Linked DNA regions of Rhinolophus ferrumequinum. The protein of the gene in region 4 interacts with the protein of the main gene of each other region in a pairwise test. Links are inferred from orthologs where the notes say so. Each region holds a gene or a part of one and is shown on either strand. Other genes may lie near its edges. The genes, in order: MX1, FTH1, ETS1 and DAXX.

Region 1 (7,229 bases), on a different chromosome or scaffold from region 4:
TGGGGCAACCGTCCTAGTAAACCTGAACCTGCTCTATGAGAATTGTGTCCAGTGTTTAAAAACTGACTCAGCAAGGGTTTCCCATAGAAAACTTACAGCTTTTCAAGCACATCCTGTTTTTATTTTAAAAGAAAGTTCTGACTGACTAGCAATACTAAGGCAGTTCCCCGCACACAGGATGCGTCTTTATTTCTTTCAAATGTTTTAAAATAAAAAAAAAAAACAAATTATTAAAAAAAAATTTTAATTCCCATCCCTCATGCCCCTCCTCTGGCAACCATCAGCGTACTCTCTATATCTAAGGGTCTGTTTCCGCTTTGTTTTGTTTATTCATTTATTTTGTTTTAGATTCCCCACATAATAGAGATCATATGGTATCTCACTTTCTGATTGGTAAAATGACAGTCCCTGAAAGCAAAAACGTGTGGGTTTTGTCTGTCCATCTTAAATGTTTGTACCTTTCATGGATCATCTTTGAGGATCGGTTTGGATTTCAGGAGCAGGACAATCTCAGTAAGGAAAACCACTTTCTGACTTCTTCATCACACCCCGCATTCCGCTACAGCTGCCACACTCGCCTGAATGCATTTGCCAACTTTGGCCATCGTGGTGACCCTTAGCTCTCAGCCCATACTGCTCATCAAACGTCTACTCTGGACCCTGCGTTTGCAGACAAGACCGAAGGGAGTTTTGAGGCCTGCACACCATCTCTCCTTTCCAGCTGTCACCTTCCGCACCTCTGCACACCCCCAGTGGGCACTGGTGGGCTACTGGACCAGGCTCTCCTCTCACTCCGAAGCTTGGTTTAGGGAGGAGAGACCCTGCCCAGGTGCAGCAGCCTCTTTCCATTCCTGCCCAGGGCAGCTCTGTGTCCACTCAGGTCTCACTGTCCGTGGGGGTGACGGGCTGGCTGCCCCCTCCACTTCAGATTTCCGGACTGGTAGCTTGCCAGTGGCCTCCAGACTAGAGGCCCATCTAACTAACAGCAGTGGCACTGGAGAATCCCTGCTGTGGGCTGAGGGGGTGGATTTCCGTGCTTGTGGGGAAGCTTCCTGAGCTTAGAGAGCATGCGGCAGCGGGGATGGGAGGGTGATTTAGCGCCCCCACCTCTGCGAAGGACCACATACCTAGCATATCCTACAGACTGCCAGATCCAGAGTCTGCACCTTGCCCAAGAAGGGGACCGAAAGTTTTACATTGTGGGATATTGATTTTCAAGCTGGTTACTAAGAAACAAAAGACCCAGAAAGAACCTTTGCTCCCCCACCCCTTCCTGCTCAAGAGAATCAGACAGAAAAACCTGCTTCAGGGAGGAAACTTAGCATAATGGCTGGTCACTACACAGGGAGACTCCACGCGGGAGCCTGTGGACCATCCCGCCAGAGTCCCATTGTGTGGACCATCCCGCCAGAGTCCCATTGTCTCGGGGTTGGTTGCCCAGCAAGAATTTGCCTGCCAGGCTGTTCCATCTTCCTTAACTACCTGTAAATCACCCATTCTCACTTCTGAAATCTAATACCCCATCCCCCCTTTTCTCCTTTGTCCATAATGTCATGTATACCCAGTGTTGCCTCGCTGCCTGGAATTTTCCTGCTTCTGTGAATTCCCCTTTCATATGTACTAAAACTTGATTTTCTCCTGTTAATCTGTCTCTGTTAATTTGATTATTAACCCAGAGAGAAGCACACAGGTGGGAGGAAAAGTATTTTTTCCAGCACTCACACTCATAAATCAGACTAGATCTTAAAATAATCTCGCAGGACTTACATTTGCATTTTCTCTTGAAAGTGTTCTGCTTTCTAAAAGCCCAGACATTTAAATATTTTATTATTAAACGGGAGAACATCTCCACTTTACCCTAATGCTCTCTCCGTAGACACACTGAGCTGAGTGTCGGGATGTGGGGAGAAGGGAAGAGGAAAGAATGGGGGGGGGGGGTCACCTCGGAGGTGGTGGAGGTGGGGAGAGCAGGTGTGCTCCAAAACAGAAAGGTGACACCCAGCCTTTGGGACTGACAGCTGACGGTTAGTATCACTTGACCGTACTTCCAACAAAAACTTGATTTAAAATTTGACCTAACTCCGAGAAGCCCACATGCACCGCTCTCGGTGGCTGCTGGGTTACTTCCGTCAGCCCCTAGCACATCCTGCCTCGGTTTATCCCCGCAAATGACAATGGACCCGGAGTGTGAGTCTGCCCCACTCAGTGGCACCCTGCTGCACAAACTTAAGGGGCACCTCCCCGGTGGGTGGGGCTATGCGGCGCAGGGCACTTCGGCGCATGCCTGGTCTCTCCCAGCAGGAGGTCCTTCCCACGGGGCTGCGCCCGTACCCAGAGCTTCCTCGCAAGGACGCTCAGCTCCAGCCGCTCATACTCTGCAGGGTCCGTGAAGGCCCTTTGTCCATCAGCTTCCAAGGAATCCCCGGGGCTGACCTGTCCGCTTTGAACGCGTTAGCTGGATAAGTCAACAATAAAAAGTGGTCGGCTTTTGGGGTGGGCTCGGAGACCATGCAGCGGTGGATGTGAAACTTTTTCAGTGCGTCGCCCTTAACCCGCTCTTTCAGAGACCCCATTGGCTCCCATCCCCAGTACCTTCCCACCTCCTCAAGCAGAAAAGCCACCGGTTCGGGGGCTGTTTGGGATCGGTCACCCAGGAGCCTCAGCAGCCGTTGCTCTGAAGTAGAATCAAGCGCGCTCTCGGCCCAGCCAGCATCAGTGTTGTTCTCATTCTCATTCAGCATCATTACTATTACTAGCCCCGCAATGCCCACACCGCCGAGCGCTCCCTCTGCAACCAGCCTCCCTCTGCAAACGCCCTCCTTCGAGCCTCCCGCAGCCGGCCGGAGGGTGCACGGACCCGGGAGCGCGATACTCACCCGTCTCCTCACTGCCGCGAGTGCGGCACCCTCACCACTCTCCGGCTTTAAGTGGTGTGTGTGCTCCGCCCTCCGCTCCAGTCAGGCCAGGCCGCGGGGAAACGAAACTCTCCTACCCCGAGGGGCCGGAGGGAACAGAAACGAAACCGAATCCGTCGCCCCGCCCCCCCACCCCTCCTACCCCCCCCCCCCCGCGCGGAGCTGCAGCCTCAGCAAGGCGCTCCGAGTGCGCGCCCGGCACCAAAGCATCCTCAGCCCTGGGAGCTCTGGAGCCTCGCAGACTCTCCAGCCGCACGACAAGATGGAAGCACACAACCTTCCACCTGAATTGCTGGCGATTCCTTCTCTGCTAAAGAAACATCGATTACTCTGTGTTCTCCCAAACGACTTGTGTACTCTTCGCCCTCGAGGACTGTCCACCAGGCTCAGCGCCCCACTCATCGCCACCATCACACTTCTGCGGGCCAGCCCTTCTCCCACAGGCTCCCGGAGACAGCCTCCTTCCCTGCCAAGTCCCAACTGCGATGTGCCCTATCCGCAGCGGCCCCTGGGAGCTCCTTCCAAGCCTGGGTCGTGCTTCATCCCGCCCCCCACTGGCTTCGCTAAGACTAAGATGCAGTTCATCTCGGATGGATGTCCTGGATTGTGGGGGATGTGGCCCCAGCCCCTGCTGCCTGCGCACCAACGGGTGACTAGGGTCCTCGTACAGCCCTCTCGTCACCTGCTAGGGCTGGCCCAGGTGTGTCAAGGAGAGCTGAGCTGGCATTAATGAAAAGCAATGCTTCCAGCTCCCTACGGCCCCAACTGGGCATTTTCTCAAAACGGGAAGCACACTGCATTCCATAAAAATGCTGCGAGTTGCCCCGCTGCCGGGGTGGGCATTCCTACGCAGCGTGGTGTGCCAGGCCTGCCTGTGCCCTGCCTCACCTTGCCCCAGGACCACTGCTGGGATGTTGCCCCTCTTTGCTGCAGCCCAAGGCGCTCCTCCTCGCCCCCGCCCCCTTCTCCAGGCCTAGGGGACTTGCTCCCTGGGATCCCCGTGTTCTCCCCCACGCCCCTGTGGAGTGGGGCCTCGTCACATTGTCTTGGCCTCTGTGGCCGTGAACATGGGGAGGGACCAGGTCCATGAAGCTTGCTGTTGCACTCGGAATCCAGCATAGTTGCTGGCACAGTGTTTCAATACATGTTTCTGGAAGACAGGAATGAGTGAATGTATGAATGAATGATGGGTAGGACCGGCTCTGGTCTTGCAGACGTGGTCCTCAAGTGACCTCCGGACAGATTCCCTACGCCTCTCAGTTTCCTCCGTAGTCTCCCCGCCTCTCCTTCCCTGTCTCCGTTTCTAGTCAACTCAGATTCGGTTTCAGTTTCTTTTCTCCTCCTGGGTTCACAGAAAAGTAAGTTAGATGAAGCAACAATAGAATCCTAAATCCAGGAGCTGGGGAGAAGGGGGCGGAGCCCCGAGGAGGAGGAGGAGGGCGGAGCCCAGAGGAGGTTCTCTGGCCCCAGGCCTCTCAGACGTGGCTGAACCTGGCCACGGTTCTGCCTGTGTCACGTGCCTCGAGGAAGTGGGGGCAGGAGGGGGGCGCGGGACTGCTCGGCAGCCCTGAACCACTGGGATAATACTCCCACGCCTGTGAGGAGGGGCCAAAGGGCCGGAAAGAGCGCCCCCGCCCAGCGTCCTCTCTGTCTGGCCCGGAGCACTGGTCCTGCCCCAGGTGTCATTGGCCCCAATTCGTTTTCTCCTCTATGTTTGTGGCATAAACCAGTCCTTCTCAAAGGGTGGTGCCCCGACCAGAAGCATTGGCTTCAGGGATTGGGGCCACCCCAAAATCACTGAATCAATCTGCATGTTAAGGGGATTCTCCACGTGTTTCATTTGCAATTAAAGCACCAGAAGGCAGGCACCACCAAGGTTGTTATTTATCTGGTCTTAAAGGGCCAGGCTTTGCCTTCTTATCTGCCCCAGGTCCCCCAGCGAGCCCTGTCCCGAGGAGACAGATACTGAAAGCCTGGTAGAGCTGAGCTGGGGACCCTGGGTCCTGGCTTGGTGTACACATGGCCCAGTGCACAGTCACTGGGGAAAGGTCGGTGGCCATTGCGAAATCGTTTTTTCCAGGATAGGGCCAACTGTCCCTATGGCATTCACCCGATGAAAATTTATTTTTCATATGGTGAAGGCAGGTGTCTCCTGCCTTCCCAGGACCTCTCCCCAGAAGGCTAATGGGTATTGACTCAGCTTGTTCTTTCCATCAGTTCTTCAAATTCCAACTCAGGCTGCTTCATTCCTCCTCTGCCACAACTGGGCTCCACATTTCACAGTACAGGTAGTGGAGAGACCCCAATGCAATATCTCTGTATTAAAAATGCTGTCTCTTGGGCTGGCCTGGTGGCTCAGGTGGTTGGAGCTCCATGCTCCTAACGCCAAAGGCTGCCGGTTCGATTCCCACATGGGCCAGTGGGCTCTCAACCACAAGGTTGCCGGTTCGATTGCTCAACTCCCAAAAGGCATGGTGGGCTGCGCCCCCTGCAACTAAGATTGAACATGGCACCTGAGCTGCCGCTGAGCTGCTGGATGGCTCAGTCGGTTGGAGCATGGGCTCTCAACCACAGGTTGCCAGTTTGACTCCCGCAAGGGATGGTGGGCTCTGCCCCCTGCAACTAACAATGGCAACTGGACCTTGAGCTGAGCTGTGCCCTCCATAACTAAGATTGAAAGGACAACAACTTGACTTGGTAAAAGTCCTGGAAGTACACGCTGTTCCCCAATAAAGTCCTGTTCCCCTTCCGCAATGAAATCTTAAAAAAAAAAAAAAAAAAATGCTGTCCCTTGGTTGTGAAGTGTTCATAGAATAGTGACTCCGTCAGGCACTGGGCTAATTTCTCTAAACACATGATCTTCCAATAGAGCAAAAACTAATCAAATAGGAAATGGAGATGTGGAGAAAATGGAGACGTGGAGAGGTAGACGCTTTCCCCCCACAAAGCTAGTGAGAAATGGAAACTGGGTCCTGTTGACCTTTAAAAAATAGCCAGATATTTCTCCAGTAAAATGGGTTTATTTGGAACAATAAAGAAGTGCAGTTCAGGTCATGCAGCCTAATGGCGAATCAAATAAAAGTCAGAGAATAAAAGAGAGGAACTTCTTTGTAGAGGAAAGAGGAGAGTTCAGAGGGGCTGTTGTAAACAAAAAGTCCATTGGAGGAAACTGGGAGTTTGTCTGAAGTTTAGTGGCTTTTCATTGGCTGAGTTGTAACCATCTTTTTTTTTTCTTAGTTTCAGGTGCACAAAACAATGTGATAGACATTTATCATTTATGTCCCTCACACAGTGACAACCCCCCCCTCCACTACCCCTCTGACATCGCACACAGCCATTACATCTCCACTGTCTCTATTCCTAATGCTGTACTCTGCTTCTTGTAACTATGTGTGTGTGTGTGTGTGTGTGTGTGTATACATATATAATTGTAGTTGATATTCATTATTTTTTTTTAAAGATTTTATTGGGGAAGGGGACCAGGACTTTATTGGGGAACAGTGTGTACTTCCACGACTTTTTTTTCCAAGTCAAGTTGTTGTCCTTTCAATCTTAGTTGTGGAGGGCGCAGCTGAGCTCCAGGTCCAGTTGCCGTTGCTAGTTGCAGGGGGCACAGCCCACCATCCCTTGCGGGAGTCGAACCCACAGCCTTGTGGTTGAGAGGACGTGCTCCAACCAACTGAGCCATTTGGGAGCTCAGCGGCAGCTCAGCTCAAGGTGCCTGTTCGATCTTAGTTGCAGGGGGCGGAGCTCACCATCCCTTGCGGGACTCGGGGAACTGAACTGGCAACTTTGTGGTTGAGAGCCCACTGGCCCATGTGGGAATCGAACCGGCCGCCTTCGGAGTTAGGAGCATGGAGCTCTAACCGCCTGAGCCACTGGGCCGGTCCCTGACATTCACTATTGTTCAGCTTCAGCTTCAGGTGTACGGTGCAGTGATCAGGCATCTACACCATCCCTGAGGTGGTCTCCCTAATGGGACAAGTGTCCATCGGATACCCTACAAAATCTTTACAACATTATTGATTACGTTCCCCAAATTGACTTTCGTTTCCCCGTGGCCATCTTGTGGTTACCGACTATACTTTCTAATCCCCTCACCTTCCCCCTTATCCCTCCCCCACCAATCTAGCAACCCTCAGCTTTTCCTCTATGTCTCTGAGACTGTTTCTGATTAGTTCATTCATTTATTCTTTTCTTTAGATTCCACATATAAGTGAGATCATATGGTATTTGTCTTTCTCTGTCTGACTTATTTCACTTAACATAATGTTCTCTAGGTCCATCCATATTGTAACCATCTTTCATTGGCTG
Region 2 (6,917 bases), on a different chromosome or scaffold from region 4:
CGAATTAAATGGTTAGCCCAATGGATAACAAAAAATCAGTACTTGCAAGACTACTTAACCCTTTTGTACATAAAAATTACAAAAGCTAGAATGAATCACTGGAAGGAAACATGTTATTCCAAACAGCTAATTCAGAATCAGGAGTCCTTTAGTTCTGTCTGAAATCAGCACACACACGAACGAGCCTTGGTATCTTTCCCAAACTTAGGAGTTTCATACAACTAAGGATTTTCCTAAGTACAAATCCTCGTAGGCGTACTTCTTTTTGATCGGTGTGACTGAACTGTGGGCCTAGATATACTTCTAGCCCATCCCCAAAACTCAAAGACAACAGCTGGGTACCAAATTACTTTATTTGAAGAAATGGTACAAACGAAAGAACGTAAATAGATGATTTGGTACAACTTATAGAAAGATAAAGGTAACCCTAACATGCACGTACTGCTCTGGTGACCAGGAAGTCACCCCCGTGGCTACTGGAAGCCGGCCAAAGGCTTAGCTCTCATTACTGTCTCCCAGGGTGTGCTTGTCAAAGAGATACTCTGCCATGCCAGATTCAGGGGCCCCCATCTTGCGTAAGTTGGTAATGTAGTCACCCAATTCTTTGATGGATTTCACCTGCTCGTTCAGGTAATGAGTCTCAATGAAGTCACACAACTAGAAAACAGAATAGGGAAGAAAGTTATTGGCCAGCGTTCCCAGCCCCCGAGGGAAGCGACTTCCTCCATTTATTCCCACGTTGCCAACACTCACATGGGCATCGTTTTTGTCAGTGGCCAGTTTGTGCAAATCCAGCAGTGACTGATTCACACTTTTTTCCAAGTGTAACGCACATTCCATTGCATTCAGTCCATTCTCCCAGTCGTCACGGTCTGGTTTCTGAATGAAAGGAAGTTAGGTCAATGCATCTATAGTCTCTACCAATAAACCGCAATTCAGCAGGTACCTAATGTAACCAGCGAGCTTTGGCAAAAGGGACATCTGAGTTTCCCTTGACGACAGTTTCCAATTTACCATCCTTGCTCATTACTGGGTGCCTACTTTAGCTAAGATGGTAGGCCTGAAAGAGCACGAAAGGTAAAGGCCCAAAGTATCCTTATTTTAAAAGGGCAACTGCTAGTCTCTGACTGATTTCTGACACCTGAGAACTGCTCGACTATGCAAGTGTGACAGCTGTAGGACCTTTTGTTCACCTTGACATCCTGAAGGAAGATTCGGCCGCCTCGCTGGTTCTGCAGCTTCATCAGTTTCTCAGCATGTTCCCTCTCCTCATGAGATTGGTGAAGAAAATATTTGGCAAAGTTCTTCAAAGCGACATCATCGCGGTCAAAGTAGTAAGACTGTACGTGGAATGTGAACATGTTACGTTAGGAGTCAGGTTGTGTTTCTAGATTGAACACAACAAAATTAGTTTCTACTTTTCAAATCCAAAAATGAAACCTGGCCCTTGAAATTCCAAGTTTACGACAAGGAACCTTTACAATACCATAGGAATACCAGTATGGAATGTCTGAATCGCCTGTATTACTGCAAAATTCTTACGGCCAGTGTCCAATTTCCCTGGAGAGGCTGTGGGAGTATTTACCCTGCATTATTAGCCCCTCCTCCCTGATCAACCCCTTTTACAACAGGAGCTTGCCAGCTTCTGGCAGACTGAAGGATTTCTAAAATTAACTTACTAGGCAAGGTGACAACTGTGTGCAATGCTAATGGAGGTAAATATCATTACCAGTAGAAAGCAAAAATTTGATTCGGTCTTGGACACTTGCTGCATTTAGGTGTTCCTCAAATGGAATGGCAGTCATAGAAATTCAGGCCTGTTTTCAAGAACATGTCTATTCTTGGATAATTTTCATGATCCTAAGACAATTCTAACTAAAACTCCCACCACATCGACTAACACCAGGATTTTGAAAAACGGATTCCACTGATCACGACAGAGAATAATTCCTTGCCCAGTAGCTGTCAGGGGGTTTCATCCCAAAATTCAGGGTTCAATTATTAGAGGGCTACAACTCTTATTACAGATACAAAAAAGACAAAGAATTAAGCACCCAGGCACTAGGCCGGGTGACATAGACAACTTCCTATCCACAGACAGGGAGATTCTAGAGATAGGCTTCAATTCAAGTGGGACTTAGAGATAAGCAGAGCAGAGGGGTGGAGACAGCTGCTCGGGAGTGGTCGGCCCACCGGAGATAAGTCACTTAGCACCAGCCCCAAGGCTGCCATTCGACACCATTACGCAGGAGGCTCCGCCATACCCAGGGGGATGGTAGCTGGACCTCTTCGTCCTTTACCAAAGAAAACAGAGGGTCTCAGGGACACGTAGACGCAGAGGATGGGATGGAAATGCAAAACAAATCTACCTTCCTAACTGCAGGGCTGTCTAGGTTTTAGGTGCTGCAATCCCGGGATTTCAAGAACCCAGGCTCTCCTTACACATAAAGGGGTGCGCAGAGGAGGCCTTTGCCTATGACGAAGTCCTCCCAGGGAGCAGTCGGCAAGAGCTAACTGCCCAGAACTTCTGCGCAAGACCAGTCCCGGGAGACCCGGAGCAGCCTCCATTTTCCCGAAGGGCGCCCGGGGCGGGAGGGCCGCCCGGTAGCCACACCCCCGCTCCGCGCCCGGGCGGCCGCCCCCGCGCCTCGGCCCTCGCCCTGCAGCCGGGCTACGCCGTGCCCGCTCACCATGGACAGGTAGACATAGGAGGCGTAGAGCTCCAGGTTGATCTGGCGGTTGATGGCGGCCTCGGAGTCCTGGTGGTAGTTCTGGCGCACCTGCGAGGAGGTCGCGGACGTCATGGTGGGCGGCTAAGGAGAGGCGGCGGCGGCGGCGCTGTTGCGGTGGCGGGAACCTCAGGGCGGTCGGCAGGCGCTGTGAGGAGGTGGCGGAAGGCTAGCCCTGAGCAGCCGGCGGGACGGGGGAATGAGCGCCGGGTTCCGTCCAAGCACTGTTGAAGCAGGAAACCACGGCAACTCCAGGCGAAGACTGTGGCGCAGGCCGCTGCCTCCGGCCTTTTATAGCGGGAGCGGGCGTCAGGCTCGCGCTGACCAATCGCGCGGATCGCCCGTCGCACCAGGCCCCGTCTTTTCCGGTGGGCGTGAGGCCCCGCCCCGCTGGGCCGGTGGGGGAGGGGAGGCCCGGAGGCCGCGGCGGGTGCGGCAAAGCGTGCGGCGGGGGAGGGTGGCTGTGCGCTCGGTGGCGCGCTTGGTGGGTTTGAAGGGACACAGTGGGGAGGGACGGGAAGCCCAGCTCGGAGCCCGGGCCCGCGTGGCCTCCTGGGTCTTGGAACCGACGGGAAACTGCCCCGGGGCATCAGGACGACTCTCGTCCCCAACGACACCCCGAGGCTCTGGGCCAAGGCCAAGGGCTTGTTAATGTGAGCGGCAGAGCAGCAGTTAGCACACCCCGAGGTGATCACCTCGTAATGCCAGTTGGGAAACTGGATATGGAAACGTGGGCCCTAGGAAGCCGACTGAGTCTGGTTGGACTGGGAAAGGACACACTTTCTCTTCCTCAAAGTCTCCGAAGCTGCAAAATGGAGGCGGAATGGGGGGGCCCACGCCACCTCGGATCAGCCCCCGCCCGCCCGCCCTTTACTGAAAGCAAATATGGCTCCTGGTGCAGTTTATACAACAAAGGCTGGGCGGGCCGTGTTTCCCGACAGACATGAAACCGCTTTCCCTGTGGGAGTCCTTGAGATGAGCCCCCTGGGCCTGAGAAAATCACTGGTGGCACTTTGAAACTCAGATGGAAAGTTAGAAAAAGGAGAAGAGACTTGGGCGCGCATCTGGAGACGATGCTGTGTGGCCATTTTGAAATGACCTCTTTTATCAGGTGCGGTTTGCACCGGGGACCCTGGAGGGGCAGGTCCACTGCATGTGGCTTGCAGCTATGACCCAGGCACGCAGTGGGTGGAAGAACTAGAGCCAGGCTCGAGCTCCTGTCCCCCAGTCTGCTGGCTTCGAAGTTCACTATTCTTAGCCAGGTCCTTTGACACGGGGGAGACTTATCCAAGACCCCTTTCAGGATGCTAACCTGCAACTGGAAGCTGGACTTCCAAACCTAAAAGAAACTACTAAAATGTTAAACCAAGTTGCTGATGGAATTATGGCTCTTTCTCTTGGGTCTTTATTCATTTCAAAATAAACGGTACTTTCAGGGAAAAAAAATTTAGTGGGGCCAGAGCTTCAATAAAGTAAGCAGAAGCAAGCTGGGAGAGGAGACAAAGGGTGCCTTACTCCGCCTGGGATAGGAGATCAGGGAAGGTTTTCCTAAGAAAGTAGCACTTGCGCTGTGTGAAGAAAAAGTTAAAAGGAAGGTGAAGTGGAGGAGGGAGATGAGGGAGAGAGAACTCTCCAGGCAGAGAGAACAGCATATGCAAACGTGTAAAAGTGTGGAAATGTATGGCCTGTCCAAGGTACTTTAAGAAAGAGTATAGGCCTGGAAAGTAGTCATGTTGGAGAATGCTGGAAGGGTAGTCTAGGGGCCAGGTCAGGAAGGAATGTGTGCCGTAAAAAGGGGTTAAATTTTATCCTGGATGATGTGGAAACACTAAGGGATTTCTACCACATTAGTTTTGTTTTTCAGAAAACTTACACCGAATCAACAGAAAAACTATTAGGATAAGAGTATAGCAAGTCATCAGTCACAAAGCTTTCCTGTATAATAATAACCATCAGTTTAAAAATGGAATGAAAGACAATTTTTTTCGTTTACATTGGCAACAAATGCTTACAGTATTTAGGAATAAAGGTAATAAGAAATGTGTGAAGAAAACTATAAATATTTACTGCTGGACAGAAAACTTCCATCAATGAAGAGACACCATGTTTCTAAATAACCAACCTCAGTTTTGTAAAGATGTCAGTTCTCCCAAAATAAACCTATAGATTCAATGCAATTTCTATGAAACTGGTTTTTTTGGGAACTTGACAAAATGATTCTAAACTTCATTTGGAAGAGTGAGTGTGTAGAATAGGTGATAAGTATGTGGGGGAAAAGATTATGGGGGTAGATTTGCCCTCCGTGATATGTGTGTGTGTGTGTGTATATATACACACACACACACACACACACATATGTAAAAGTATAAGGTACTATGAGCAGTTGGTATTGGCAAAGGAAGAGCTGACTATATCAGTGCAACAAAACAACCCTACCCACGTATGTATAGGAACTTGGTAGATGCTAAAGTGGTAATTTAAATTAGGGGAGAAAGAATGGGTTCAGGGCTGGCCCGGTGGCTCAGGCGGTTAGAGCTCCATGCTCCTAACTCCGAAGGCTGCCGGTTCGATTCCCACATGGGCCAGTGGGCTCTCAACCACAAGGTTGCCGGTTCGACTCCCACAGGGGATGGTGGGCTGTGCCCCCTGCAACTAGAAAACGGCAACTGGACCTAGAGCTGAGCTGCGCCCTTCACAACTAAGACTGAAAGGACAACAACTTGAAGCTGAACGGCACCCTCCACAACTAAGATTGAAAGGACAACAACTTGCCTTGGAAAAAAGTCCTGGAAGTACACACTGTTCCCCAATAAAGTCCTGTTCCCCTTCCCCAATAAAATCTTTAAAAAAAAAAAAAAAGAAAAAAGAAAGAATGGGTTCAACAAATTATGTTGAAACAATTGACAGTCATGTGGAAGAAGATGACTCACTATTTCAAAACATGTTCCAGCTGGATTAGAGATTCAAGCTTTAAAAAAATCTATGAAGTTACTAGAAGAATATATAGAAGATTATCTTTTAGAATTTTGGGATAAGGAGTGTTCTGAGGCTGTCGAAAGCCATAAAAGGACAGTTGGCGATCTGACTACTTAAAAATGAAAAGTTCTGTTTAGAGCGTGGTGCTGGTAACACCAATGTTGCTGGTTCGATCCCTGCATGGGCCACTGAGCTGCGCCCTCCTTAAAAAAAAGCTCTAAGACAAAAGATGCCATAAACAAAGTTAAAATTCAAATGACAAATTGAATTGATATTTGTAGCTCCTATAAGTAGTGACGATGAATAAACATACTATATATATTCATATGTATAATTATATACATATAAATCACACCTTATAATTGTCTTCCCTGCTACTGTATACTGTAAGCTCGAGGGCGGGCATCCTGGGCTCCCAGCATTGTGCAAGGTGCTTGTTACTTGGTGCTCAGTATTTGCTGAATGAACAGATGGATGCACGATTGAATGTGGAAGATGGATTAAAGTCAGGCCAGAGGGTTGGGTACCAGTTGGGAGGCAACAGCCCTAGTTCTCAGTGAGCAAAGAAGACAGAAAGCAGATCTGAGAGATATGGAGAAGACAGAACAGACAGAATGAGGTAGCTGATTGGATATTGGGGGTGGGTGGTGGTGAGGGGTGGGAGGTGGGCAAGGGAGCCTCCCACCTGGGCTGCAGCTGCCATTCACTGAGAGAGAGAGCACAGGAGGAAATGCAGTTTCGGGGAGAGGCCATTGGGGAAGGCAAGCTAGGTTTTGGACTGGAGGTGCCGAGTTTCAGGGCCTCCAGGACATGCAGGTAGCCAGAGCCAGCCTAAAGTTGGACCCACCAGAATGAAGTTGGTCTGTTGCAGAAAGAGATTTCATGAACCAGTATTGGCTCTGTGCTTGGTTAAACACATACACAGTTGTCGAGAACGTCATGGCAAAACTGAGGGACAGTCTGGGCTGTAGAAGTTCACTGGGGAGGCCAGCTGGGAAGAATGAAAGGGAAGTCTTGTGCTGGGTGTGTATGTGTGTGTCTGTTTGCCAGGGTGTCAGAACTGCCATCTCCAAGCTTCTAGATTCTTCCAAAGCTGGAGCCTGGTCTTTGGACCTTTGTTGACCAGAATTTGGCCTCCCTCCCCTTCAGCCCCAGCTCCTCGTGACTTTGAGGAGGTGGAGAGTTTGGCTGGCTTCCAGGGACCGCAGCCTC
Region 3 (7,447 bases), on a different chromosome or scaffold from region 4:
TCTTTTATTTTTATCCTGTTTTCAGGTAAAACCTTGCCTCCTAAAATAAATTATGTTAATTTAAAAAATGGAGTTTATGTATTGTTGCTTCTGTACCCATCACAGCCCCCAACACAAGGCTGGGCACAGAATAGAAATTAAATCAACATTTGTCACGAGAGACTGAGGAAGAGACTAGACCTTGTAGCCTTTCTTCAGTATCTTCCTAACAGTGAAGAATTAATACAGATTCCCCTTTGGAAAATAAACTTGATCCACTGTGCTCTTCCAGATAAAAGCAAATCCTAGGTCTACGCAGAAAAATTCAGCCTAAACTTGTGCAAGTGTTCCAAAGCTACTCAAGGTCCTGTGAGATATCACCCCAGACACAAGCCCTGGACTCACATTCCTTCAGTTTTAATCAGGTCTCCCCCAAAAGTTGGTCCTCATCTGTTAAATGGGGATGACAAGATGCCCACCTCAAAGACTTCACTGTAGATGAAATGACTGGTCCATGCAAAACACCTAGCAACAGGCCCCGCAATGGACCAAGTGCTCAGTAAACAGGAGGGATTATTATCCTGCCTCACTCAGGTGAAGTGGAGGAAACCAGGTATTATATGCGGATAATCATCCAGATTTAAAAAATGAGCTCCCTAAAGCTACATTTTCAGTAGAGCAGGGACAGAGGAAATGAAAAGGCAAAAAAATGAGTTATCTTCATATCTAAGTTTCTCCAAGATTAAAGACTCACAAAATTTGCCTCCAATGGCATTAAATTGCTGCATACCACATTTATTTTGTTCAAATACGAAATACTTTTTAATTTCTATAAAAGGGAGAGAGAGAAAGAGAAAAAGGGAGAGAGAGAGGAAGGGATGGAGGGGAGGGAGGTCTGATGCCCAGCTTCTGGGTTGTAATCCCTTCCCTTTGCTGTTTGATGCAGAAGTGAGAATTTTGAATGCTAATGAGGAAAGGAGAGTTGCTGTGGCAAACAGATCTGTTCACCAGTAAATAAAATCATGAGGTCCAGCAGAACTGGAATGATCAGTAAGAAATTCGGCTGCGCCTAACTGAGGCTCCATGTACAGTCAGGAGAGAAACATCAGAGTTAATTATATTTACTTTTGTTCTCTCCTCTGTATGACATAGGTGGGGCACAAATCATAATTTACAACTTAGAGATGAAGAAAAAAAGGCATGGTTACGTTAAATAACTTGTTCTCAGTTACAAAGCCAACCTCTAATAGGACCCAAGTGCACATCCACTTTCCTGACTCCAAAGCCAGGGCTGGTGCCAGTTCTTATCTTACTCACCTTTGAATGCCATTATACTCAGAGGCAGGCAATTGGCCCAGGTCCGTGCCCTCAACCAATTCTCCAAGGTCATAGATACCAGATATTGACAATTACCTCCTTTACCCACCCTCCCCCAGGGCTCTACTCTAGGACCTCCTGGCACCTCTACCAACTAGCACCTCTGTGCGAGGGGCCTGTAGGACAAAGATGCCCCCTCTGTAATCAGACTCTCACTTCCTACATCCTTGGCTGCAGAACCAGGACGGAAGAGTCTGCGTGGCTGCCTCCCCTGTTTGTTTTTTCACTACTGAGTTGGCAAGGATGGAAGTTGTTGATTTACAATTAGAAGCAGCATGCATCTTCAAATATTAATATTAATAACTACAATGCTGAACACATGAAAAGGTCTTTTCATCTTCAAAGCACTTTGCAGACATTAACTCATTAGCTCTCCCTTCCCTCCATTCGGAAACAACAGGTAAGAATCTCCGTAGCACTGGTGGCCACCCAGCAGCCCTCCAGGCATATGTAGCAAAAGGTTTTTCTCTTTAGATAAAAAGGAGGTGATGCAATCCAGAACCACAACTGATGAAAGAGTCAAAGCGTCAGTCATTTTACAAATCAAATGGAGCTGCCAGAGTTATCATTTTAGAATCTGTATTTTCTGTTACTTAACAAATATCTATCTTTTCAGTTGCACAGTAGTGGTATGAAGTCGGAAGAAAAATGGCCTTGAGATTAAAAAAAAATAAAAAACTTACCCAAAAGATAATAAGAAAAACCTATCAATGAAATGCCTTGATCTCAGTAACCCAGCATCTTTTCCAATAGTTCACCCACATAAAATGCTACTTTTAAAGGGGGTAGCAGAGACATTTTAACAGTAGATGAGAAGCCACAGACAAAGTGGAATTGCCAAAGAAAATCACGGAATGCGGGGAATGGCCATCCACACACACCCCTTGCTCTTCAATGGCAGAGTCCCTCAAGTCCAGCTCTGCCGTGGAGGGGACAAATGTCCCCCTGACTCAGAGACCCCCTTCTCAGCTGCAGTCCGAAGGACAGGGAGAACCTTAGAGAAAGGTGAGTCACAAGTCAGGGAAAAACACCAAAAAGGCTAGTTTGGCTTGTTATATTCAAACCTGTAGCAATTTCTTCTCCATAAAAGCAACTCATTAAGCTGCTAAGAAAAAAAGAAAAAAGAAGTAAAACAATAGGCTCGCTAGGAGTGAAAGACAAAAAGAAAAAAAAATCAAAAGAAATTATTACATTTAACTTTAGCTCTTTGGAAGTGTTCCAATAGGCGAAAAAAATTCAGACTTTCTGACAACTAATCTGTGAGTATCAAAAACGTGCATGATTTTGCTTTTATAAAGCAGGGAAAAGAGTGAAACACTCTTGATTCACACTATTCAAACAAGATTAGGAAGTATTTTTGAAAATCATTATTAAAGAATTGAATGGAAAATACAGAAAAATGTGAAAAGAGAAAGAGAAAACCCGCCTGTATCCTGAAAGTCCTCATCAATTTGCCATTTCGTTACACAGAATTTAAAGAAGAAAAAAAAAAGGAAAAGGAAAATGAACTGCAAAGTTTTAGGCAGAAACTCACACTTCACTTACTACTTTGCTGGAGAGACTGGGTGAAGAAACAGTCCTGAGTGAGCTTCCCTCAACGACTGTGGTCTCCTTCCAACTACCTGCGGGAATCCTAGGCTCGATGGCTAAAGGATGCAAAGACCATAATGTTTCTAATAGAGCTGCCTCCTTAAATTGGGGAGGTGTGGTCAAGCCCGGGAAAGCTGGGAAAAAGGCAGGGTTGCGCTAGCCCCTGACAGCACAGAGGCAACCACTAGAGCAAGTTTTTCGGTCTAGGTGGTAAAGCAAATAATGTTACAGGCTGAGATAGCACCAAATCACACCTTATTTTCCATCCTTCAAATTATCCTTCCATTAAATATAACTCAGCCTTGGGGAGTAATTGGGAGGGAGACGAACAAAAGGGAACTAGCTCAATGAGATAACACCGGCTTTCAGCCTTTACAGATGCATTAGATTTACTCTCTACTGAATATGTGAATATTCATGATTCACATGTCTTGATTCTCAATGGAGCTTCATTTAACCTAGGCAAAGGGTCAGGAGAGGGAGGGACTGGGGAAGAATCCAGTCAGGAAAGGCTGTCAGAAGAAAGGATGTCTACTACCACCCAGTCACATGCTCAGGCTTCTTGTTTATCTCTATTAACATGATGTGAGATGTGATATTTTTTAAGGGAAAGAAAATGATTCTATGGAAGAGAGTTGATGGAATACGGTATAGCCCAAATACGCTCATCATGTAAACCTGCTTTTAGATGATCTCTAAAATAGATTAGCTTTAGTGCCCTGATTCATAGTCCATGGTGCAGGAATGAAATGGTAGAAATAGTCATATATTCCCAATTTAGAGAAAATGTAAACAATGTGAAAATCTTGCATCTGTGCTAGGTGAAAACATAGCATCTTTTATTCACATAGTCAGAACTGTGGTAAGAATGTTGCAGTGGACTATCATTTCAATAAATAGGGCTGTTTCCTTACAGAAATTTTTGTCACTGTGGCTGCTTAATTTAACACTTTTATCCTGAAAGATTCCTTTTTCTTTGAGTAATAGAAGGGATTTACAATTTGTCATGGTTGGCTCCTTTCCCTTTCTAATGAAGACATAATGCTTGATGTTGAAAGTCTATGAAAATCTAATAAATGTCATTCAGAGCAACATCATCATTATCCTTCATTGTATAAAGCTGGGAGAGCAGTTAAAATGGTATTGTAATTAAAACAAGATTTTACTGCTCATCTTTTGCCTTTGCAGATTAACATGGCTTAATTTAAAAGAAAGGAAGAGATAGTGCTAATGGTTCAGTTTAGTTTAATAAATATCTATGCCAAGCTCTGTGCTAGGCACTAGGAATATAACAAGTTGACACTATGGTGGGAAGACAGAAACATAAATCAACCATCCCAATAAAGTGCGCTTGCTACGAGGTATAACAATTAAGTCTGTGAACTCATCCTAGAAAAATGCTACATATCTCATTGTTGAATATTACTACGGTCACCTTCAAAGTACTCCCCTTGGGGAACTATGCACTGATGCCAGCACCTAGTCCACCCTTCAAAGCAATTCTGGAACTCTTTTTTTGGAATGGCCATCAGAGCTGTTGTATTACACTTGATGTCTTGAATGTCATCAAAATGTCTTCCTTTCAATATTTCCTTTATCTTCGGGTAAAGAAAGAAGTCATTGGGGGCCAGATCAGGTGAGTAGGGAGGGTGTTCCAATACAGTTATTTGTTTACTGGCTAAAAACTCCCTCACAGACAGTACTGTGTGAGCTGATACATTGTAGTTATGCAAAAACAATGAATTGTTGGCAAAAAGTTCAGGTCATCTGACTTTTCCACACAGCCTTTTCAGCACTTCCAAACAGTAAACTTAGTCAACTGTTTGTCTAGTTGGTACAAATTCATAATAAATAATCCCTCTGATATATAAAAAAAAAAGGTTAGCAACATCGGTGCAACAAGTTCATGAACTTAATTGTCAAACCTCGGAGGAGCGAAGTCTATGAATAGAGCTACAGAATATTTGGCCCACCCCCTATACCTCACTTGGTTCCATTTAAAGAGCCCAGGTTGGGGGTAGCCGGTTAGCCTAATTGGTTAGAACGTGGTGCTTGTAGCACCAAGGTTGCCGTTTAGATCCCCACATGGACTACTGTGAGCTCCGCCCTCCTTAAAAAGAATAAAACAAAACAAACAAAAAAACTGGTATTTCCCAAAGAAAATACTCTTAAAGAGCCCAGGTCAATTAAACCAATCACAACTAATTATAACTGTATTACTCACTATGTTTGCAAGGGAGTTGAACAAAATAGAGAGAAAACTTGGATTCTTGCCCTATAAGGGTATACAGTGTGATTATTGAGGAGCTCTGGCATCTGGAGTTGTCTACACAAAGTTCATATGCACAGCAACCGTTTAGGACCTTAACTCTGTCCTCTACCACTACCTATCATAGTATGAAAAAACCTAAGCTAGAAATCTGAATGCTACACAATAAACCACCCCTGGCATAAATTGCTTAGAGAATGCCCAAAAAAGCAGCAAATTTTGTTTTAAACAGTATCTTCAAAAATATAGTATTAGATCGGTATCTACATGTAAAAGAATGAAGTCAGAAGTTAACTTTACACCATATACAAAAATCAACTCAAAATTGATCAACGACCTAAAATGTTAGAGCTAAAAATCATAAAATTCGTAAAAGAAAACATAGGAGGAAACTTCATGACATTAGATTTGGCAATGATTTATTGGATATGACCAAAATCATGGGCAACAAAAGAAAAAGTAGATAAGTTGGGTTTCATCAAAATTAAAAACTTTTGGGCAGCCGGATGGCTCAGTTGGTTAGAGCTTGAGCTCTTAACAACGACGTTGCCGGTTCAATTCACACATGGGATGGTGGGCTGCGCCCCGTGCAACTAAGATTGAAAACAGCAACTGGACTTGGAGCTGAGCTGCACCCTCCACAACTAGATTGAAGGACAACTTGCCTTGGAGCTGATGGGCCCTGGAGAAACACACTGTTCCCCAATATTCCCCAATAAAAAATTAAAATTAAAATTAAAAACGTTTGTACATCAAAGGACTCAAGAAAGTGAAAAGGCAACCCAAAGAATGGGAGAAAATATTTGCAAATCATATGTCTGATAAGAGGTTCATATTCAGAATATAGAAAGAACTCTGACAACTCAACAACAACAGGAGCAACAACAAAAACTTGAATAATCTGATTTAAAATATGGGAAAAGAACATGAGTAGACATTTCTACAAAGATATACAAATGGCCAACAAGCACATAAAAAGATAGTCAACAACACTAATCATTAGGGGAATACAAATCAAAAATACAATGAGATACTACTTCACATCTATTAGGATGGATGCTAAACAAAAAACAGAAAATAACAAGTGTTGGTGAGGATGTAGAGAAGTTGGAACCCTTCCACATTACTGGTAAAATGTAAAATCATACAGCCACTATGGAAAACAGTATGGCAGGTCTTCATAATATTAAACATAGAATTAAGATATGATCGAACAATTCCACTTCTAGGTATATAATCAAAAAAATTGAAAGCGGAGACTGGAACAGATATTTATATGCCAATATTTATAGCAGCATTTTTCGCAGGGGCCAAAAGGCAGAAACAACTCAAATGTTCATTGACAGATGAATGGATAAACAAAATGTTTATGTTCCAAACAATGGAATATTATTCAACTTTAAAAAGAAATGAAATTCTGATACATGCTACAACATGAATGAACCTTGAGAATAGCATACTGAATGAAATAATTCAGATACAAAAGAACAAATATTGTATGATTCCATTTATGTGAGTACCTAAAATAGTCAAATTTTAGAGAACACAGAGTAGAGATCTCCAGGATCTGGGATGATGGGGAATGCGGAATTAGTGTCGAAGGGGAACAGTGCTTCCGTTTGGGATGATGAAAAAGTTATGGAGGTGGATACCACTAAACTGTACAATTAAAAATGGTGTAAATGGTAAATTTTAAGTTATGTATATTTTACAACAACAACAAAAAATGTCCTGAAGAAAAAACTGTACAGCATTAGGGTCAAGTAAACCGTCCACAGAAGGAATGCTTTCTTATCAACATGGATGGTCCAGGGCAAAGAAAAAGGATCTTCCAAAAAAAGAGGGTATGAACTCATCGGAAGGATCACAGGAAACTCCCTCCACTACACAGACTCCCTTGGTCTCTCAAGGTGGGGATAAAAGTAGCAGCCCAACGTCACAAGTTTCTGGAAATTACTGTATAATTGAATGATTGTGTAAACAGTAAACTGAAAAGGCAATACTAACAGTTCTTTTCCATGCTCTGCAATATTGAATTCTATAGGAAAGGACCTCAGTTGAAACGACTACATATTATAAGATTCTTGAGGAAAAAATTGAAACCCAGTGACCTAGGAGGCATGTACATGGTGGGACAATTAAGTTAACGAACTCATCCTAGAACTAGTGCTACATACCTCATTGCTGAATATCACTACAGTCACCTTCAAAGTACTCCCCTTGGGAAGCTAT
Region 4 (6,883 bases):
GGAGGACATTTCTCAGCAACTCTCAGACCAGGACCTCCCACAGAAAAATCTCACTCTTCATTATTATTGCCCCAACAGTTAAATCTCAATCATAAACCCTTGCCCCACTGACCAATCATGGTGTTTCTCTCTCTCTCTCTCTCTCTCTTTTTTTTAATAAACCTCCCCTTCCTTGGGTTCTTGCAGCTGCTTGTCCCCCACCAGCCTTGGTTAAGAGAGTCCCGCCCCCACCCCAATTACCCACTGTAAAGCTGGAATGGCCTTTAGATCTTTGACTGACAGCAGCTCACAGTAGCATACTAGGTCCACTTGTTCATGCTCTATCTGTGGTGGCCCAAGCCCTTGAGCCTTGAGCCTAGAGACCCAGAATGACTTGGGCAGCTCCAGCTTCATGTCTGTATGTTGGGCCTTCAGTTTCCAAAACAAAATTATAATGCTGGACAGACTTTAGGAATTATTTTGTCCAGTCCATTCACATTGCATTGGATAATTACATGATTGTTCCAAAAGCTCAGAAGCTCTACTCTCCTTTCTCTCTCGGGTGGGGGAATTAGGGTCAAACCAGGCAGGTGAAGGACTTGCCCCACCACGCCCCTTAATCCTGGCATTGCTGAGCAAGGGCTTCCAGCCTAGCCTCCCTGATCCAGCCAGCTGTCAGACTGTAGGTTACAATGGCAGAGGAGGAGGGTGACATGGATGAGGACGATGTGTTCCTGGCTTTTGCCCAGGGTCCTCCTCCTTCCAGGGGTCCCCTACGTCGGGCCTTAGACAAGGCCTTCTTTATCTTCCTGGCCTTCTTTCTGACACTACTACTGCTGGAGGCTCTTTATAAGCTGCTGTGGCCACTACCATGGGCAAAGTTTGGGCACTGGCTCTTGAGGTCACCTCAGAAAGAGGAGGAACTCGAATTGTGACCACCTTTCCTATAAACATCCTCTTACTCTGCCACAGAGGTGAGAGGGGAGGTGGGGGAAATGGGACTGTTGGGGGCTGTGGAGGGGACACCTAGAGAGGTTAGAGCAGCTGTCTTAAAATTTCGTCACCTATACTCTAGGAAATAATTTTGAACAGGTTTATACTCCTCAGGTTTATATTTCTCAGTAAGCATCTAAAAATTTTCATCATAATTAAAAATTGTTTCAAGGATGTAATTCCTGGCATATTGAAAATATTTACATTTTAAAATAAAACATTTAATCACTCTTTTGAATGTCCAGAAGAACTGAAATATCAGAGTGATTTGATACCTACTATCATCCATTTAAAAATACATAAATAAGCTCTTAACAATTGGGAATCATTCCTTTTCTCTTTTCTCCTTGAACTCCCATTACCATTCCCCTTCCCCAGAGACAATTTTATGCTTTTATACTTAAAAGTCTGAGATGAAAAATATTTTTCTTTCTTATGATCAAAACTCGTTTTTCCCCCTCTTCCTCCACTTTCCCAGCCCCATTCCAGTTCAAGCCGCTGTTTCTCAGTGTAGTTGTGTAGGACAGAGCTCCCTGGCCCATGCTGCTATTATGAACCTTGCGCTCCCCCGGCTGAGGCAGTGGATCGCCAGTCCTCAGTTGGCTGCTCACAGCAGCTCATGGCAGACCTCGCCGGCTGGCTGCCAGCCACTCCTGGCAACACTGCTGGCCAGCGCCTGGCAGCACACGGTAGCCCACCGCTGCTCATGGCAGCTTACGTCAACCTCTGGGTGCTCACAGCTGCCCAGCTCCAGGGAGAGCTGTTTTTCACAATCTTAGCTGTAGAGGGCGCAGCTCATTGGCCCATGTGGGAATCCACCGGCCACCTGAACTGTTGACCTGAGCACTAGAAGGACCAGTGCTCCAACCACCCGAGCCACCGGGCTGGGCCTGCCCAAAACTCTAGTTTTTAAAAAAATTTCTTCAGGGTTATCATTACAATTATTATGAGAGCAGAACCGATCAAATGGCATGAAGATTGTACACATTTTTATAATTGTTAAAAAATTTTTAAATGTTTTTAATGAGATAGACGAGGTGGTGTTTATGGTGCCTTAATGAAAGAAGTTGGCTACATAGCTCTTTATTTGACACTAGGTAAGACTGTCTCCAGATTTCAGGGTTGAAAACTATACTTTTTTTTTTTTTTTAAGAGGGAGAAAGTCTACTGTAAAAGGGTAAAGGAAGAAAAAGAACCTCTAGGGCCGGCCTGGTGGGTCAGGCGGTTGGAGCTCTGTGTTCCTAAAGCCCAGGCTGCCAGTTCAATTCCCACATGGGCCAGTGGACTCTCAACCACAAAGTTGCCAGTTGGACTCCTGCAAGGGATGATGGGCTGCGCCCCCTGCAACTAACAATAGCAACTGGACCTGGAGCTGAACTGCGCCCTCCACAACTAAGACTGAAAGGACAACAACTTGACTTGGAAAAAATCCTGAAAGTACACACTGTTCCCCAATAAAGTCCTGTTCCCCAATAAAATCTTAAAATGAAAAAGAAAAGAAAAGAAAGAAAAAGAAAAAGAACCTCTATTGTAGGTATTTATTCAGGAGAAATTTTGGGAAAGCTGAGGATCTGGAAATTAAATCTCTAACATCTCCCAAGTCCAAGTGCTCTTTGGGGAGTTTTCATTTTCCCCAGTTTGAAGACTGTAGGTTTAGACGACTGGAAAGAAGAGATGTGAGATTAATGGAAGGGAGCGTTTGAGGTTCTGGGACTCTGAGGCTTGGACGTGTAGGGACCGCGGAGATCCTAGAAAGTGATAAGATGCTCACCACTTGTGGAATGCTCAAGGATGTAGAGGGGAGCAACTCAGCCATTGGAACAGTCTTAGCCTCTCCGGTTTCCCCCAGAAGCTCACCTTTGGACCCAGCCTTGCCTCCATGAGTCCCTCCAGCCTCCCTAAAAGTGGGCGAGGTGGGATGCGGGTGAGGCGGGCGTCAAAGTCTGTGTCTTCTCTGTTCGTTCTTTCCTCAGCTCTCCCAGAGAAAGAAGAGGAGACGAGACCCGCGGTATTTTCCGAGCCTCATTTCATCTTACAGCCCTTACAGTGGCAATTCGCAGAGATTCTTCTTAACTCCCTTCCGCCTCCCCATATCGCCACTCCTTAGGCCCCGAAGCTCCCGGACAAAGCACGTCTTCTGGGTCATGACTACCTGAGCCTCAGGGACCCCCTTCAGAAAAGTACGGAGAATCACGTAGGTGCCACCTGCTTGGTTGGTAATTAGTCTGTGGTGAAGCTTGAAAAGCAAAACAACAATCGTAATAATAACAATAACACATTGTGTGGGGCGTTGTAATTATTTGTGTGCAAGTGTTTTGATGTCACGAACACCTGGATTCAAAACACTTGGAGACGCCAGGATGTAAGAAGCTGCTGGACAGCGGCAAGGGAGTGCGCAGCCCAAAGACGGGAAGGGGCAAGCGCCGTGGAGTAAGCCGTGGAGACGGGTACCTGGCAGGTAGGAAAGCAACGCGGGAAGGCTGGTCAATAGCCCATCGAAAGGAAAAGGTTTTATTTCCCTCGTGAGAGGTTTCCGCCCTTTCGTGCACCAGTGCGTAGCCTTGGAGGGCCCAATTCCTCAGCGGCCGTTTTCCGTTCCCCCCTTCCCTACTTGGAAAGGTGGCTCAGTCCTCCCGGCACGCGCCTAGCCGGCGGTTGGGCGGGAGGCAGGAAGTTTCTGATTCGCGGAGTCGCAGAAGCGCTGGGTGGAAAGACATCCACTGGCGGAGCTCTGGAGTCGGGGCTGAGTCAACGCCGTACGGCAAAATGACGGCCCCCAGGTACTTAGGGAAGCGCCGCGGGGATAAGCTCGCCTCCTACAGGTCGGGCGGAAGGGAGCCGCATACAATGTAGGAAGCTCCAGAAACGTTCGGGGATCGGACCTATTGTCACTTCCGGCCACAGGGGGAGGTGGGGGGGGGACTGGGTTCCGTACGAGAATATGGCGCTTAGGTTACTGGAGGCGGAAACTCTGCGGCTTCCGGTCCAGCATCGGGCCTGCGGTGGGAGGGGGAAGGAAGGCGGAGGTAACCATGCGAGCTTCTGATATCTGCGGTGAGAGTCGTTTGGAGAGGCCGTTTGTTTCTGAGGTGGGGCCCGGACTGTGCGGGGGTCGAAGGTGGGGGTGGGGATGTCGAGGGAGAGGTGTTGGGGAGTCCCGGGCGCTGAGTCTGAGGGGCAAGCTTTCTTTCCTATCCCTGAAGGGGAGTGGGGCGGGTGGGGCCTGAACTGGGGGAGGGGGACTTGGCGGGAAGCTCATCTAGGGGAAGAGGCCGGACTTAGGCTTGGGATCCGAGAGGAATCGGGCGAGCCCAGTGCGGGGCTCACGAGCGGTTACAGGTCACCGAGAGTATGAGGAAAATTAGGGTGGGGTGAGAGGGAAGGGTCTTGAGGTGAAATACCTCCAACCTGACTCCCCGGTTTGAGACCCTTCGGCGGGTGGAATCTGAGATACATTACAAGGGGTGAATGTATGGTTGAGAGGGAACCTTCTTCGCCTCAGAGTCTAGAAGTTGGGGAGATCCTTCAGGATGGGGTGAGGGTGTGGGTTTGACGTGTTTGAGAGCCAATGGTGGCGCTGACGGGTGTAGCACCTGTGCGAGGTGAAATCTGGAGTGCAGTGTGGGAGGTGGTGGCCCGGAGGCTGGGAGGAAAAGGCAGTTTGCCAACTAAGACAAATAGTGGAGAATGGAAACTGAAAGACCAGATGTCGTGGATATGGGGAGTGGAGCTGGGGTGGGGACTTGAGGTCGCAGGTGGTTTGGGGCCCCAGAAAACATGGTGCTAATGGTTGCTGAAGACAGGCAGTGAGGACACTGTTGGGCAGGGCTGGGTGTTACTGAAACCCAAGAACACTGAAAAATGTGTGAGCTGAAGGGATGGGGCTATGCTGGAGGGGCTCTTTCTAAGGCCCCCGTCCCCTTCCAGCAGGAAATACGAAATCCCCAACACTTCCTCCCTCCGGGGGATTTGATCCCCCATGGCTACCGCTAACAGCATCATTGTGCTGGATGATGATGACGAAGATGAAGCTGCTCAGCCAGGGCCCTCTCACCCACCCCCCAATCCGGCCTCACCCCAGGCAGAAGCCCCTGGCTCCTCCCAGCCCCATGGGGCTGGAGGAAGCAGTAGTTCGGGCGGCAAGAAATGCTACAAGTTGGAGAATGAGAAGCTGTTTGAAGAGGTGAGCTTTAGGGGAGAAGATTCTTGTACCCCAGGGAGGGGGTGGCTCACTGGCTCTCCTGTCCTTTTTTCCCCCACTAATCCCGCCATGCCTTCTTTCTCTCAACCCCCTCCCTTGTCTCTTTCCCCCTCCCTTCTTCCCCTGAACCCTCCAGTTCCTTGAACTGTGTAAGGCGCAGACAGCAGACCACCCTGACGTGGTCCCGTTCCTTTGTAAACGGCAGCAGCGTGCCCACTCTCTGTTTTTGGCCTCAGCGGAGTTTTACAACATCCTCTCTCGGGTCCTGTCTCGGGCCCAGAGCAGGCCAGCTAAGCTCTATGTCCACATTAACGAGCTCTGCACTGTTCTCAAGGCTCACTCAGCCAAGAAAAAGCTGAACCTGGCCCCTGCTGCCACCACCTCTGGCGAGCCCTCTGGGAGTAACCCTCCCACAGACACCTCCACGGATGCCACAAATGCCGAGGCCACTGGCTCTGAGGCCCCAAGGACCCGTGGTTCCCGGCGGCAGATCCAGCGTTTGGAGCAACTGCTAGCAATCTATGTGGCAGAGATTCAGAGGCTGCAGGAAAAAGAGCTGGATCTCAAAGAATTGGATGACCCAGACTCCACATACTTGCAGGAGGCAAGGTTGAAACGGAAGCTAATCCGACTCTTTGGGCGGCTGTGTGAACTGAAAGACTGCTCTTCACTGACAGGCCGGGTCATAGAGCAGCGCATTCCCTACCGTGGGACTCGCTACCCAGAGGTTAACAGGCGCATCGAACGGCTCATCAACAAGCCGGGGCCTGATGCCTTCCCTGACTATGGAGATGTGTTGCGGGCTGTAGAGAAGGCAGCTGCCCGCCACAGCCTTGGCCTCCCCCGACAGCAGCTCCAGCTCATGGCTCAGGATGCTTTCCGAGACGTGGGCGTCAGGTTACAGGAGCGACGCCACCTTGATCTCATCTACAACTTTGGCTGTCACCTCACAGATGACTATACACCAGGTAGGGATTAGTGATGCCCATCAATAACCCTTGTGTATATCAGGTGTGTGGTAGAGGGGGCATCTCTCTAGTCCCTTCTTCTAGGGTTTGACTTCATATCTTTCCACATAGGCGTTGACCCCGCACTGTCAGATCCTGCCCTAGCCCGGCGCCTGCGGGAAAACCGGAGCTTAGCTATGAGCCGGCTGGATGAAGTCATCTCCAAATATGCGATGATGCAAGACAAGAGTGAGGAGGGCGAGAGACAGAAGAGAAGAGCCCGGCTCCCCCAAGCCACCTCTTCCCATTCTGTGGACCCCCCCAAAGGCTCCTTGGATTCTGGTGAGGTATGGAAGGGATCTACCCTTCAGAGACACCTTGTCCTTCCCCTGCACTGGCCAGCAGGGACTCCACGGTGACCCATGGGGGAGTGTGCGGAAGGAACACAGAACCAGACCCTCTGGGGCAAGGGATTCATTAGAGAAAGTCCTTTGTCCCCCAGGGCCCTAGTGGAATGGCATCCCAGGAGTGCCCTACCACCTTCAAGGTTGAGACCGAGGACGAAGATGAGGAAAGTGATGAAGAAGAGGAGGAGGAGGAAGAGGAGGAGGAGGAGGAGGAGGAGGAGGAGGAGGAGGAAGAGGTCACAGATTCTGAAGAGGAGGAGGACTTGGAACAGACGCAGGAAGGTCAGGGGGATGAAGAGGAGGAGGAGGAAGAGGAGGAAGCAGGTATGACAAGGAAAATCTCACTGCTAGTTCCA

Evidence for each region.
Region 1: the proteins of DAXX (region 4) and MX1 interact in a two-hybrid assay, tested with the Homo sapiens proteins (2 studies listed by BioGRID). The link is inferred for Rhinolophus ferrumequinum from reciprocal best matches to the Homo sapiens genes DAXX and MX1.
Region 2: the proteins of DAXX (region 4) and FTH1 interact in binary tests that used the Homo sapiens proteins (3 or more experiments, as listed by UniProt). The link is inferred for Rhinolophus ferrumequinum from reciprocal best matches to the Homo sapiens genes DAXX and FTH1.
Region 3: the proteins of DAXX (region 4) and ETS1 interact in binary tests that used the Homo sapiens proteins (3 or more experiments, as listed by UniProt). The link is inferred for Rhinolophus ferrumequinum from reciprocal best matches to the Homo sapiens genes DAXX and ETS1.

What each region holds. Positions count from the first base shown.
Region 1 is NC_046285.1:105,591,684-105,598,912, reverse strand, and holds the start of MX1 (interferon-induced GTP-binding protein Mx1), read right to left. Parts: upstream 3,018-7,229; 5' UTR 2,877-3,017; intron 1-2,876.
Region 2 is NC_046294.1:9,007,253-9,014,169, reverse strand, and holds FTH1 (ferritin heavy chain), read right to left. Parts: upstream 3,009-6,917; 5' UTR 2,805-3,008; coding exon 2,691-2,804; intron 1,341-2,690; coding exon 1,194-1,340; intron 880-1,193; coding exon 754-879; intron 658-753; coding exon 496-657; 3' UTR 336-495; downstream 1-335. UniProt on the Homo sapiens protein: Stores iron in a soluble, non-toxic, readily available form. Important for iron homeostasis. Has ferroxidase activity. Iron is taken up in the ferrous form and deposited as ferric hydroxides after oxidation. Also plays a role in delivery of iron to cells.
Region 3 is NC_046308.1:28,898,031-28,905,477, forward strand, and holds the start of ETS1 (protein C-ets-1), read right to left. Parts: upstream 3,015-7,447; 5' UTR 2,902-3,014; intron 1-2,901. UniProt on the Homo sapiens protein: Transcription factor. Directly controls the expression of cytokine and chemokine genes in a wide variety of different cellular contexts. May control the differentiation, survival and proliferation of lymphoid cells.
Region 4 is NC_046286.1:3,663,018-3,669,900, reverse strand, and holds the start of DAXX (death domain-associated protein 6), read left to right. Parts: upstream 1-3,875; 5' UTR 3,876-4,004; coding exon 4,005-4,052; exon of another isoform or gene 4,053-4,061; intron 4,062-4,678; coding exon 4,679-4,683; intron 4,684-4,899; exon of another isoform or gene 4,900-4,951; coding exon of another isoform or gene 4,952-4,968; coding exon 4,969-5,155; intron 5,156-5,309; coding exon 5,310-6,141; intron 6,142-6,252; coding exon 6,253-6,467; intron 6,468-6,622; coding exon 6,623-6,851; intron 6,852-6,883. Other genes in the region: SMIM40 (small integral membrane protein 40), read left to right, coding at 672-914. UniProt on the Homo sapiens protein: Transcription corepressor known to repress transcriptional potential of several sumoylated transcription factors. Down-regulates basal and activated transcription.